Linked DNA regions of Styela clava. The protein of the gene in region 2 interacts with the protein of the main gene of each other region in a pairwise test. Links are inferred from orthologs where the notes say so. Each region holds a gene or a part of one and is shown on either strand. Other genes may lie near its edges. The genes, in order: splicing factor 45-like and uncharacterized protein LOC120326920.

Evidence for each region.
Region 1: the proteins of uncharacterized protein LOC120326920 (region 2) and splicing factor 45-like interact in binary tests that used the Homo sapiens proteins (3 or more experiments, as listed by UniProt). The link is inferred for Styela clava from reciprocal best matches to the Homo sapiens genes SF1 and RBM17.

What each region holds. Positions count from the first base shown.
Region 1 is NC_135252.1:14,908,089-14,915,886, reverse strand, and holds the start of splicing factor 45-like, read left to right. Parts: upstream 1-4,751; 5' UTR 4,752-4,802; coding exon 4,803-5,030; intron 5,031-5,209; coding exon 5,210-5,441; intron 5,442-5,985; coding exon 5,986-6,183; intron 6,184-6,534; coding exon 6,535-6,662; intron 6,663-7,434; coding exon 7,435-7,566; intron 7,567-7,656; coding exon 7,657-7,754; intron 7,755-7,798. UniProt on the Homo sapiens protein: Splice factor that binds to the single-stranded 3'AG at the exon/intron border and promotes its utilization in the second catalytic step. Involved in the regulation of alternative splicing and the utilization of cryptic splice sites.
Region 2 is NC_135253.1:22,301,274-22,308,812, reverse strand, and holds the start of uncharacterized protein LOC120326920, read right to left. Parts: upstream 3,350-7,539; 5' UTR 3,232-3,349; coding exon 2,970-3,231; intron 2,368-2,969; coding exon 2,170-2,367; intron 1,776-2,169; coding exon 1,700-1,775; intron 1-1,699. Other genes in the region: PIH1 domain-containing protein 2-like, read right to left, coding at 6,549-6,683, 7,258-7,394. UniProt on the Homo sapiens protein: Necessary for the ATP-dependent first step of spliceosome assembly. Binds to the intron branch point sequence (BPS) 5'-UACUAAC-3' of the pre-mRNA. May act as transcription repressor.

The DNA.
Region 1 (7,798 bases), on a different chromosome or scaffold from region 2:
AACCGGCAAATATTTTTTGCATTGATAAAACCGCGACCATATTTCATAACATGTTGAACATTGTTGAAAAAGTTGTAATGCTTCTTTCTTGGCATATTTGTTGTTTCTGTGTTTACAGCAGAACTGTAACAAAAAAGCAACAAAATGAATATAAACATTGCAGCTTGCAGGAATACAAATAAAATGGACTAAGGTAATTTGACTGCAATAAAATAACAGTAAACATGTAAATGAAATGAAGTTGGTGTGCTCTGGCATCAAGACTTACATGCGCCACATGTTAAAAATTTTCGGATAAGTTAAGATGCTTCTTTCGTAGCATATTTCTGTTGTTTCCAGCAAAACTGTAATGAAAAAAGAATAAACATGACAGCTGCGAGAATAAAAAGATATACGTTAGGTTAGACGTTAATTTTACCGCAGGTATCAGGTTATGGCACCAGTAATGAACTGACTTTATTTCACTATTAAACATTTGATATGCTCAGCCCTTACACTTACCTGCTGCACATGTCAGCATGTTGAAATTTTTTGTAAAGTTTGTAATGCTCCTTCCTTTGCATAATTCTGCATTTGTGGTGTTTCCAGAAAAAACGTAACAAAACAGCAAAATATGAGAACAAGTATCGCAATTGTACAGACATTCTCATTACTGCATTAATAAAGAAGAAGAGACAATAATTGAATTTCCCTGCAGACGCACTACAAGTAAATGAATTCGGTAAGCTATGGTAAAATTGACAAAGTTACGACAAAATAGACTCTTCTTATTTTCACTGATAACTCTACTCTATTACGGTACTAGGTAGGGTATGTATTGTATTAGGTAGGGTTTGTTTTTAAGTCTGACAGTCTACCGGTACCGGTATCGCACCCATAAAAAAACTTTCAATACTGTCCCCATAAAAAACTTTCAATTCCCAACTTTCGCTAAGGCGGTACCGTACCGTCCCCACAGAAAACTTTTCAATTCCAGCATCCGCTAAGACGGTACGGTTACGGTACAGCGCAGAGACTGTCGTGGTTATAACAGGGAATGCAAGCCCCGCTTTTAGCATACGAGTTAGTTCAGTGTAACCGATTTTGCTCTTATCAAAATTAACTAATACGGTAGGCTAGATTTGCTGGAAAACCAACCTTATTGCAGTACAGTAGTACCGGTAAGACCGCGTAAGGAAAAATCGTAGCAAACAGCAAGGACTTCTTTACGAACCACCGACGTTCGATGGCACGTGATCAGAAGAATCGAGTGCTTATGCGACCGCAGAACGTTCGGTGACGTCATAGCAAACAAAAACAAATCTCACAGAGCTAACAGAAATATTTGAAATAAATAAAAGTAATAGCCTTCTGGAGAAAAATTTCATCTTCAACCACTAAAAATTTCAAAGCAATTGGTCCAGTAATCAAATAGAAAAGCGGTTTTTTAATATTTTCACTAGGTGTGTTAGTCTGTGTCAAACAACAAGAACAACATAATATTGAAACGATCGTTATGTCCATTTCGTGTCCAATAAATTTATACCTCTATTTCGCGCGTAGGATGGGTTTTGAATGACTGAGGTCTATTCCCCTATTCAGAGCACAGAGATATATAAATATATATTTCCAGTTCAGTGATTCAGAGCCATTATGGCTCTGCCCTATTGCACACATGATTGCACAAACGCGAAACTTTAAAGATGGTCAAAGGAAACACAACCCTACCAACGTGCCAAGTTTCATCATTTTATCTATTATATTTCTAGTGATTTCCAAGCTTTCTCAAAAGGACAATGGGTAGTTGACGACATAGAAATTTGGTCCGTTTTTTTCCCTAGGTCGTTTTTTTGGTCGTATTTTCGTTGTTTATGGAATTTGAGTGGGATTTTGCAGAGCTACGAGGACTAGTGGACGAAAGCGCGTGTGGAATATCGCCACGGTTCGTTAAATTTTCCGCATTAATTATTATTAAATCAATGAAGTTAATGGCCACAAAGTGGCTAAGCCACCCTACTAATATAAGCTGATAAGTACCGGTATAAATCATGCGGAATTATATCTACTCAAATCCTAACCAACTAACTCAATATTTGTCACCATAAGGGATAGCCCTGTCTTCATGGTCCACTTGCCGTGGTTACGGCAGCAAAATTTTACCTGCCATTGACCACTGTGAAGCTAGTAGCAAACCTTCTTCTAATTTTGCGCAGCGGTGCGTATAATCTCGTTTTTTTGCTCATTGAAGGGTGAAATGACAGTTTTGTGCTTATTGAAGGGTGGTGGCGTAAAACATGGGCGAGTCCTAAATTCCACACAGAGAACAATGATTAAGTTTGTAGACAGGCTGTGGAAGAAATACATCACGAAGTACATCACGATAAGCAATAAATTCAAATATATTTGACGGCAACTTAGGATACAGAGTGGAAAGCATCCCGGCGGTTTGATCGCCTATGCAGTTTCATTTGTCATAGTACGTTGTCGAAATTAAATATACTCGGCTGATAAAATTGATCAGGACAAATATTTTGACAAAAAATGTTAGATTACGTATTCATATAAGCTTGAAAATATAACGAAACGAGTGTTCCATGTCACCTGCATAGGTTTCGGTAATAACTGCCAATTAAAAGCTAAGTTATGTTCAATTTATGTGACATTTTTTGGAAATACTTCTCATGCCTGCAAACATTTATACAGAGGTGCAAGATGGTACACGAACTAAGAGAAATAAGCAATATCAACCGAGCCATTGAGTTGAGGTCCAAATCGTCTGACCAACTCGATTTACATTATTAAACACTGTGATACCGATAAAAAATTATATGGTGCCCATTCCGTGATGCTTTATGCGCGCTGCTTATTTGGCTAAAGTGTTAATTCAACCAAGAGCCCCGAGCATTTTTGTATAACTTTAAAAATATTTCAAAACCAGCCTACTAAATTACAACATTTCGTAGCCGTAAAAGTGCTTTACTTCGTTTCAAACTGTGTATTGTATTACGTAACAAACGTTAAACTTCATTATAATATGTCTTAGTAATTTAAGAAGTTTCACATGCATTTTGTAGTATAAAGCAAATTCTTCAACACATGCAATAAACAGAACGTAAAAACTGTTTTGTTTCAATATGTCTCACTGGCGCTGAAATCAGAAGTCAGGTTATTATATGTCGTACATTATCGTTATATCGTAATTTGGATATTTTGAAGATCAGCATAACGTCTCTTCTATATTGGTGGCGCGAAATATTAATTTTTTATTCAAGAGATGACAAATTTCCAGAATTATGTGCAATCGTGTCATTAATACACGATAATTTTATAAAAATGGTACAAACAAAATTATGCAATTTACAAAAGTCAAAAAAGCTAATTTTGGCAACTTTCAAATCCCAGCAGCACACTCTACGCACAAGAGGCATTCGATTTGATTATTTTATGTTAAAGAAGTTTATCTGAAGTTTTTTACACAACTAGAACCTAAGCCTTTTTTATTTTAGAATCTGGGGTATTCTCATAGCGAAAATGGCCTTATTTGGAAAAATTACGTATAGCTGAAAAAGCTAATTTAGTCAATTTTCAAAGCCTAGCAGCACACCCTTCCGCACAAGAGGCATTCGATTTGATTCTTTTATGTTAAAGAAGTTTGCCACACAACTAGAACCTAAGCCATTTTTATTTTAGAATCTGGGGTATTCTCATAGCGAAAATTGCCTTATTTGGAAAAATTACGTATAGCTGAAAAAGCTAATTTATTCAATTTTCAAAGCCTAGCAGCACACCCTTCCGCACAAGAGGCATTCGATTTGATTATTTCCCATTAATGAAGATTACCTGAAGTTTGCCACACAACTAGAACCTAAGCCTTTTTTATTTTAGAATCTGGGGTATTCTCATAGCGAAAATGACCTTATTTGGAAAATTACGTATAGCGAAAAAAGCTAATTTAGTCAATTTTCAAAGCCTAGCAGCACACCCTTCCGCACAAGAGGCATTCGATTTGATTATTTCCCATTAATGAAGATTACCTGAAGTTTGCCACACAACTAGAACCTAAGCCTTTTTTATTTTAGAATCTGGGGTATTCTCATAGCGAAAATGACCTTATTTGGAAAATTACGTATAGCGAAAAAAGCTAATTTAGTCAATTTTCAAAGCCTAGCAGCACACCCTTCCGCACAAGAGGCATTCGATTTGATTATTTCCCATTAAAGAAGATTACCTGAAGTTTTCCACACAACTAGAACCTAAGCCTTTTTCATTTTAGAATCGAGCTTTTAGCTTTTATTCTTAATTTTGGTTATATACTTGTTATTTTTCCCAAATTATAAACATATTTCCCATAATAGTATGCTAATTTCGTTTATCTTCATTTTTTTGGGTGTAGATTCTGACACGCGCCTCCATTTCTGCCTTAAATATTACCCTTTCCGCTTCGCCGCACACAAAGGTCAAATTGCTACTAGCTTCACAGTGGTCTGCCATTGGCTTTCAATTTGCTGCCGCGGTAACGGCAGCTCGTCATTGGTTTGTGCTTGTGGCAGCTAAAAAGTCAGTAGCCATAGGTTTGGCTGTAGCGGCCATGGTATGGAAATACTGCCATGGTTTTGCGGCAGCTGCAGACGCCACAGAATACTTGCACTTGTCGAATTGTATGACCATAAATGTTTTTTTCAATGTTCAAGAGTGTTCCTCCCATTTTGACAACACGGTTTCGACTTGCAGGGTGATTCTGTAACACATAACTGCATAATGTCCAAAATAATTTCATTCTCTGGTATGTTTTCAGAATAGGCCTATATATAAACGCAAGAACAATGTCTCTCTATGATGGATTAGGTTTGGATAGTAATCAAGGTGAAAAAGCAACCGGGTGGTCTTCCAGTTTCACAATGCTAAAGTCTCAACTTGAAGCAAAAAAGGCAGCTTTAACAAAGGCAAAGCATGAGAAGTTTCGAAGTGGGAACCCTGTTGTTGCTCCTGTGATTAATTTGAATAAAGCAGTAAAAACAGAAGAACAGCTTGATTACAGCCATGATGACAAAGTTAGTTTTAAAGTTGTGGATTATTTCTTTTTTAAATAAAAAATTTCCAGGTACTTTTACCGATTGGTTCGTGATTCTAGCTGCTGAGCTGTGCAGTTTTAGAATAGATGTTCTATCTTCATAAGTTCGTATATTACTAAGCAACATATTTTAAACGTTTTTGCATTTCAATGATATAGCTAGTGGATACAAAGCCTAGTCCGTTTCTTGGTGGAGAGAGTCTTGATCAATTTGAAGATGAGTACGATCCTAGGTATCCGAATGAATATGAAAAAGTTACACGAAAAAGAAGAGAAAGACGTCAGCGGGAAAGAGAAGAGGAAAGGCAGAGAGAAATGGAGGACAGACGGAAAAGAAGAGATTCAAGACATTCGGATCGTGATAACAGACGAGATGATCGAGCACCCCATGGTAGGATTAATACAATTTTCGTGATATTGCGAATACTTTAAAACCCATATATTAGTTTTTCTTGAATCAGTGAATCAATAATTTTTGATGGATAGTAGCCTTAAGTGATCACAAATATCTTGTGTTCACTCTAAAGAAGAGTTTAAAAGTAATCAAAAGCCTACTAATCTTTACTGACATTATAGTGCTTCAATTAATATTCGAAGTTCTTGGAGTTGAATGACATACACATACACATCAATTTGAAATAGTTCTAAGAAAAAGGGGATTTTGAATGCGGAAAGTGATAGAAAATTCATATTTTACCCACTCTGGATCAGGTTCCAGACATGCTTGCAATTGTTACTTTGTAGATAAATATTATGTGCTTAGACATATTCTAACCATCATTTACACTCTTGAAATTAATTTATGTGAACTTCAGTTACTGTGGGCTTAAACAGTCAGCTAACTATGAGACTGACTCCTTTTATGGCACCAACATACATTGATGATGACTTCATGAAAGCGAAATATTATATATGTAACCATTGTTGTTGTACAGGTAGGTTTGGTGGGCCAGGAAGTGGATTTTCGCGACGACCTGCATCTGACGAGGATGAAGAAGATGATGATTACGAACGAGAAAAACGTATCAGAATGACCCAGGGAAGTAAAGCTGCAATCGCACCTCCAACTATTCTTATAGAAGAAGATAAAAAGGCTGAAATTGCTCCTCCACCGCCTCCTCTAGCATTAGCAGGTTTCAATATCTTCATTTTTCAACAAGCCGTATATTAAACGAAAATTCTAGTCCAATTCATTAAACTAACAGTAAATACTTATTGGCTTAGGAGGTGTTTGTGTATTCAAGGCCTCATTTTTAGCCATATAGAAACTGTGTCAGTGTCGATTGAAATTTAACAGGGTGTAATTTATGTAGAGAGAAATTTCAGATTTTATTTTTAGAAGACTATATGAAGTAAATTTTATCCTTCATGACTCACTAATAGTATTAGGGAATTATAATATTTTTACTTAATTGATATTCCTCCTCAAAAGAATTCCTATCCAATTATTCGATAATAGTGAACACTTGATGCATTACTTGTAGGTGGAGCTGGAACACAATTTGCACGAAATATGGCAGGTTCTGTAGCACACAAAATCATGACAAAATATGGATTTAAAGAAGGATTGGGTCTTGGAAAAGGAAACAGGGGCATCAGTCATGCATTACAGGTTTGTCACATTTTCCGTGTTCGATACAAAGATGTTTCAATAAAATTTAATGAAATAAACAAGATTAATTTATTAGTTGAGAATTGTAATTTGGGGCTATTTTTAGTGTAAAATCTTTTTGGGAATCACAAAAGAAAATATTTCCAAAAGTTTACCAATACAGTACAGCACACTATACAGATCAAGTGACATTGTCTCGTTACAGAGAAACCCATTTTACAGATGATCAGACACCCCTCTTTTGGGAGACGTTTGTACATTGCTGTCTTTCATATATCGTATAATGAAGTTGGCAGTTGCACAAAATACTACAAAAAAACGCAATCTAATAACGTCATCATTGAATTCCCCGGGGAAAAAATAATCCAATTTACAGAAGAAAAATTTTTTTTATCCTGGCATACGAAAGTTTTTACCGAAAAACGGCAATTTTGATCACATGACGGCTGCGATTAATTTAGATTATTATTGAGACAAGCATGGCATGATCTGATTTGGTGCCACACGCCCCTCGTTTGTGAGACGCATGGAGTGTTTGTTTTATTGAACCAAATGGAGGGAATTCTTGGAATTTGGATAGTGTGCCGTACTGCAATATAATAGTGCAGAAAATGCTCAAGGCTGCTCATCCCTGATTGCAGCCATTTAAGTACATCCTTTTTGCCAATCGTTTGACCTGGAGCAACACTTATGATTGCATAGAATCATCTGGAAAGAAGCATTAGCTTTCCTAAAAGTAAAGTCTCTCTTTTGGTATGTTGTCTTATAATAGGTTGAGAAGACAAGTAAACGAGGAGGTAAAATCATACCAAGTTCTCAAATTGAAAAACAACTTGAAGAAGAGAAGAAAAGGGAACAGGAAGAAAAAGAAAGTGTAGCTAATTTGTTAAAGAATCCTACAAAGGTATTTTTACTTGTTTCTGTTTTTTTTTCACATTTGGTTAATGGTATAAATAAGGCATATTTTCTATGTTTATCAATGCTCAATCTACAGGTCGTTTGTCTTCGTAACATGGTTGGGCCTGGAGAAGTTGATCAAGAATTAGAAGGTGAAACATCGGAAGAATGCAGCAAATATGGGGAAGTTAGAAAGTAAGTTTGCGCAATTCCATCGGTTTGATTAGATCTACTATTTA
Region 2 (7,539 bases):
CATGAAAAAGTTAGTGGGACACACAATTTTTGTGCAACGAAAATAGGCCGCGAAAGATAAAGGTTAAGAACCACCGGCCTAGCCAATTTCTTACACCCTGGGTGATGGGATTTGAACCTCAGATTTTTAACACATTTTAACGGCGCTCCCGTAGTATGTGAACCAAGATGGCGGACAACTGAACAAAGTATGTGTACCAGGTTAGGGTTAGGCCATAATTTTATTCCAATTTTCCTTATTTTAGTTCTATTACAAGTTCGGGAACTAGCCAAGTGACTCCCGTAGTATGTGTACCTGGAATTATGGCCTAACCTGATCCACATACTACGTTCTGGTGTCCGCCATCTTGGTTCACATACTAAGGGAGTACCTTTTCAACACATTCACTGTTAAAATCAAGTGAAACTTCAAAAAATTTCTCAAGAAATGACATAGAGGCTATTGATAAAATTACTGGTAAAAATGCATAATTGTAAAAAACACAATTTTTTAGATGAAAATTGACGACCCATTGAACCCAAGCACACTTAGCAGCTGTAAGAAAGTTAATTTTTGTCGTAATAGAAGAAAAAAATCCTGAAAAATTTGGAATTAAGCCTGCTAGACCTGTAGAAAGGTTAGGCTGTAGAAAAAATAGCAAATTTAAGAGAAAAATTTAGGTAATTTGCTGTGAATAAACTGGTATCAGATTAAAATCATTTTTGATACTCTGCAGAAAAATTGATTATAAATTTGGGGAGGTACTTCCACTAAGAAAATTCATAAAGTTATCAGAATAAAATGGTTATTTAATGAAGAGGTCTTCTGCTGCGTAGCTCTCTTTGAAGTAGAGTTCTGCAGAATTCATGGTTGACTGGCCATGACGAGCGTTCTCACAATGCTGCAATGTAAGTGGCTGCATAAAGGGTTTTTGGGCACAATATGTTAGGTTATATTAAACATGGTTGGATTGTTAGAAAATAGATCAAAAATATATAATATTTACCATCTCTGACTACTAGAGTTTCATATTTTAGCTTAAAAAATAGGCCCTAGAAAAGCAACCTCTGAGATGGCTGGTACTTTACAATCACTGTAACCGTATATTCTCGCATATAAGCAGAATTAAAAATTCCAAAAAAGTTTCCAAACTAGTGAGTACGTTTCTATGCGCATAACTCAGGTTGGCTTATATGGGAATTTTCATAAATACCCCGTTTCGGGGAGCTGGCTAACATGCGACGGTATACAGTACTCAAGATTACTTAAATCTTTCTTTTATATATACTTACAGTTTTATATAATCTTTCAATTTATATTTCTACCCCTCAAACTAGGATATTAGGTTACGTTAGAAATTATTAAATAAAATGGCCATTTTATGGTTTCTTAAAAAACAAAAAAAAATTCATTTGCCTGATTGGTTTGTCAAAAAATGATCAGAGAATCGTATTGTTGCTTTCATAGTGGGATATATTTTTAATATATGCTGTACTTCGAATTAACTAAGAAGTGCTTCGCCTACAACTTTACAAAGTGACGAATCTCTTTTATTTATGAGTATATGCACATGACTTTGTTTTAGATAAATACCAATAAAAGGGTTACTAAGTAGAAAGTTGTAAAAAAATAATAAATTAAACAAAAATAGCAAAAAATTAATGTCACCACAAAATATGTAAAAACCCAAAGTGCTTGTTGCACTCAGATTTAACCAAACCTGTCTTCAGGGTTAGGTGAAATACCAAGGTCGCCAGATTTCAACTTTCTCGTCACATCTTCGATCTGTAGCTGAACTGTAATTTTCACGGTTATGAAACACGTTGAAAAAGAAAAAAGAATCGTTTGTTAGGGAGACACCAAGTGGAGCACCGATAGTGCCTCTGGTGTATTAAAAAAGAGTAAAAATCTATATTAATACGAAAAAATAAGAATTGAGAGCGTGAAACTCCTTTGAGACGTAATTCTTGAAATCCTATCATCCACCTAAAACCTGGCATCAGATACTTACCCAAGCCCTAGAAGTTAGAGACAGTTAATTGTGAATTTGAAAGATAAAAAACGTGTATAAAATGTAAAAACAAACTTTTTCAAACCTAATTGGGCCAAGAGAGATACAAAAAGATTCAATCTATTAAAAAAAAGCACAAAAGCGGAAAATTCAAAAAAATGAATAAAAAAGGAAATTACCTATGTATGCTTGTTGCTGTTCTTTACTCAAATTAGCAGGCATCGTGGATGGGATACCAGGAATGTCAGTTTTCACTTCCGGCGTCGACCAGCGGCTACGTTTCTTTCTTGGTCGGCCACGTTCATCAGACGTCTGCTGCGGCGTTGTAGGCATAGACGGCTGAGGTGGTGGGGCTTGCATTAGCGGTGGTGCTGGTGCTAAGAAAATATATATTACAGAGTTTATTGAGTATGACAATACAATCAAGACTTCGTTAAGTATCATCTAGATGCAGTAAGGCACAGTTTCCAAATTCCAATTATGTCCCCTCATTTTGGTTCAATAACACTAAACACTCCATGTGTCTCACAAGCGAGGGGCGAGTCGCACGACGGCAGATGTGTCATATCGCATCATACTAGTCTCGAAATATTTTACGTTAATCGCAGCCGTCACATGACCAAAACTGTCGTTTTTGCTAAAAACTGTATGCCATAGTAAAAGTAAAAAATTTTTTCCTTCTGTAAATCGGATTATTTTTTACAGAGGAATTCAATGATGACGTTTTTAGATCGTGCATTTTTTTAGTTTATTGTACAACTTCGTTTTAACAATGTCCAGACGTCGCCTCGCTCGACCTGTTAAGTGTACCGTACTGGAATGTGACTAATTTGAATATTCATGTCTTAACTAATACACTTTTAAAATATCAAAAAGCATTTCAAAAGTTGATAAATCATATCCACTAGTTTTAACGTTTTTATTTTTATCAAATGGCATGTTTGTTTCAGATACAAAAAATAGATGTTTACAAGCTTACCAGAGCTAAATTTCTTTTGTTGCAAGCTGGCAGCAGCAGCCTGGGCAGCCCTAAGTGCTGCAGCAGCATTACTGCTGACTGAACTTTGCTGTGGTGAAGGCTGGGAATGTTGTTGCGGTGGAGGCATTTGCGGTTTCAAAAGCGATGGTTGTTTTTCCGACGGAGGCGTCGCAGAAAATGTCCTTTTTGACCCAATTGCGGGGTTTCGCGGTCCCAGCGGAATCGCATTTGCCCCTGTAAATCCACTACCTCGTCTTGACATCTCGATAAACTTCTAAATCTACTAATGAATAGAGTTAATACGCTTATTTAAATGACAACAGCTCGCGAAAAGCTAAACGCAAATGGCGACGAACGATGCTTTGCGACGTGTGAAGGAAAAAAGCAAAGTCACGTGATCAATCTTCGACGAAACGTTCACAACTTTCGATCGCATTTCATTAATGAATATTACGAAGTATGTCAATATACTCGTTATTGATAATCTCTAACTGAAATTGTTTTAGGAAAGATTTCATTTTATAATTGCATTCGATAAAAGCTTTCATGAGGCGTTTTTCATGTGGATATCTGCTGTATGAGCGCTCGAAAAATCTAAAGCATACGGGCCAAAAACCTTGACCGTTCTTGTATACTGTATACTGACACACGCAACATATTGTTAATCAACCTGTGTTTTCAATTACAGTATTGTATATATTGGCATTTATTAACAAAGTAATAATATTGTTTGTTATTTAAATATCTTTGCTTCTCTGCATTTTACATCATCACACGTAACATGTCCAAATTTACATCACTTATATAAACGAACCTTGCTAAGCGGTTAGTAACTGATAAACTACGGTATGGCTATTTTTCAAGAATAAAATTTGAAATAATTTTCGAGTTTTTGACTGTTTCTACATCGAATATATCCATTATATTTCAGCTGAAACCGTCACACTTGATAGAAAACCGTTCTCCGGTTCGTGACGTAATATATCGGTCCTTTTCGTGTTGGTAACTCGAGAGTTTGGAAGCATGGCGAAGTCGAAGAATCATACGAGTCATAATCAGTCAAGAAAAGCTCATAAGAATGGAATAAAAAGACCAACTTCACAAAAATACCCTTCCCTAAAAGGAGTATGTCCAAAGTTTTTAAGAAACATGAGGTTTGCTAAGAAGCACAACAAAAAAGGAGCAGGAAAAGTAAAAGCCGAAAAATAAACTTTGATGTGACTTCAAGATTGGCTCGTGTGAGTTTTCGAAGCAATTGACGAATTTTGGACAATTTAGCCAAGATATTGAACTCGAGAAAATTTCGTGCTATGTAATTGTTTGTCATCAGAAATTCGAATATTGTGTTAGAAAATAAAATATGAGCTAATGGATCTGGTTTGTCTGTGATCTTGCTTCAGTCATCTCAAGTTGTGTAGTTTAACATCCTGACGGTACTTTTAGAATCAATTTCATTAATGATGTGGTCAAAGTACCAACAGTGTACAAGTGTGCCACCCTTTGACTTTCAGACTTCTCTGCATCTTGACTTAGCATTGACAGACTGGATATTTAAGAACTTAGGATCCAAAATAATTAGATAGAACAGTTGTTTATTAGTTGAGTTTTTCAAAGTGATGATTAAGATTATTTGAACGCAATTCAGAAACTGAATTCTACATATTCAATTTGAAAACAATAACAAGCAACCTAGGCATAAACCAACTACAGACCACAGGACCACCCATCGGGCCAGCTGTACGGACTTAACCACTTCAATTGCTAGTACTGTAGTACAAAATAAATCGAGATAAACGTTGGGTTTGGGCTGGCTTTACATCACTGTGGAATATCATGTGTTTGTGGCCCGCTAAATACCTAATGCTGCTTTCAAGGTTTCCTCCAGTTGTTTTTCTTGCCATGTTTAATAATGGATTCGAAATCGTTGCAGGGATAGTTATGTGCGAGAGGAACTACTTGCCACTGATTGGTTGCGGCTTCCTCCATCGCCAAGTTCATGCTATAGAAAACTGGCTAACAAATTCTAAAGCGTATATATGAATATTCCCACACCCGACATGGGGCGGCTTTCCTCTTTCCATGATAAATATGTGTATCCTATCCTACTGTACCAATCCTAATATTAGAAGGCCAATAAGCGAATGTAAAAACATAAATGTATTCGAGTTGAAGAATTGAACAACACTCTGGTTATTGATATAAATTAATGTAGTAATCGCATTAAACCCTTTTTCTCATGGCCCTATGGAACTGCTCCATGGACTCTTAGTGGGGATGAAGGCCCAGTGCAGCAGTTGGAGAAACCTAGGACTAGAGCTTTTGAACTGAAAAATTTACCTGTCATGTCTACGACTTTTGTAACTCCACGACTGGGATAGATATGTATTGATAGAACTTAAAAAAATATAGCTTAATCTGTTGATAAGACTCGCAGAATAATTTATAACTTTCATACTAGTTGAATAAAATTATTTTCAAGGAACAAAATAGTAAAAAATAAAATTTGTTACAAAATATCCCAACATTATATACTATGCATAGAGCAAATATATCACAGGATAAAACATAAAAGAGAAAGTCAACTAGGTGAAATTGTTATGCAGACCAGGGACAGAATAATACATTTTTCTCTCATTGCATTAATTGCTTGCTATATATCGATCGAAGAATTCACCATCCCGATTTTTCATTACTCCCATGATCGTCATAAATTATAAACATTTAGATAAAGCTTGAGAGGAAATTTTTTGAAGATCATTCATAGACTTATGAGGCATTTAAATTGATATACACACACTTATACACTTCATAAATAACTTTAATCAGCTGGATGATGAGATGGCCCAACCAAAAAAAAAAAAATGACTTGATGAATTCGGCATTTTTCAGACTTGATTTAATAATATCCAATTTGCAAGATCATGTTTTGCATTAAAGGAAATGGCATGGGATTAACATTTCATTGTGGTTTGCACAGAGAAGATGGCAATAAAAGTTGGTCGCAAACTGAAAAAGGTAGGGAAGCACTGGTGTGTGGAGACGAAGTCATTCTAAATTTCCCTGAGTTGGGCCAAAATTTTTTGGGTTTGAATGGTGATGAAAAAGTCAAACTTTTCAACAGAAATAGAGTCTCGATATTCACTTTGGAGGAACATTCAAAGCCAGACAAGACATTTTCTTATCAGATTTTGCTTAAATTAAACTCGAAGAGTATTTTCCACGTTCATCAACCACAGACTCTGACATATATTGAGTGTAGAGGACAGGTATATAGAGCTGTTCTGAATTTCCCCGAGTTGGGGCCAAATTTTTTGACTTTGAATGGTGATATAAAAGTGTAAACTTCTCTACAGAAATAGAATCTCAATATTCACTTCAAAGGAACACTCAAAGCCAGACAATACGTTTTCTTATCAAATTTTGACTTGGTAATATTTTCCACAGTGTTATCGTCAAAAGTCTGAGTCATCGTCTAAATTCTGAATTTCACCAAGTTGAGGTCGAAATTTTAGACTTTCGGTAATGGTGATAAAAAAGTCGAACTTCTAAAGAAACTCAAATAGCATAAAGTCTCAATATTCACTTCAATGGCACATTCAACGTCAGACAAGACGTTTTCTTATTAAACTTAGCTGAAGCGTCATCTTCTGATATTGCTGACGGAAATGTCAAAGTAAAATAGTATTTATCTTCTACAATGAGTTCCACTGATTCCTAAATTAAGAAAAAAAATTCCAATTATACTTTGTCATGCAAAAAATCACAGTAAATTCAGACAAACAGGTATATCATCGCAATTACCGAGAATAGAGGTCGCAAAGATCCAGATCTGGTCATCAGAAATCACTGACACCAAGATTTAAAACGGGTCAAAAAAAAAAAGTGGAAGAAAAATGTACACAAAAAGAAACTTGATGATACTATTTTCAATCAAAATTACCATTATTGCTAAGGTTTTCAGCTCGGCAGTGTGACGAATCGTGCTTGCTAAGCGTGAAGCACCTCTGACCTGTGTGGGTTCAAATCCCCTGATAGTTATGTGCGAGGGGATTGGCGAACTCCTCACCGTCGTAGGGTGGTTCACGTAACCGCTGGTCGGTTATGGCTCCCTCCACCATCAAGTCCATGCATCCAAAACATATGACTGGGTAATCCCATACCCGACATGGACTGATAACTGGACAAGAGGCCGTAGTTCGCCATATGATTGAGTTGTCTTATCGGCTTTCCTCTTCCTCAGAATAAATATGTAAATCCCATTCTAACAACATTAGCTAGCTACTGTTACCTCTGATATATTCAAATCACATTCTGCAACACTGGATACTGTAGGTAACTTAATCTTCAAGACAAACTTTGCCGGTCTTTCATTGTACTTTGGCATCTCTGTCAGTGTGTGCTCTGGTCTCGGCAGATGAGAGAAGTCTGTACATGAAGTTTGTTAGGTAAATGCAGTATCGTATCTACGTAAAATGACACCCATGGCGAAGCCCCTTATCGTTGGTTGACAATTTTAACGGCTGCTGTTGAATTGAGATATGTTATTATTTGAGTAAAACTATGAGTGTTA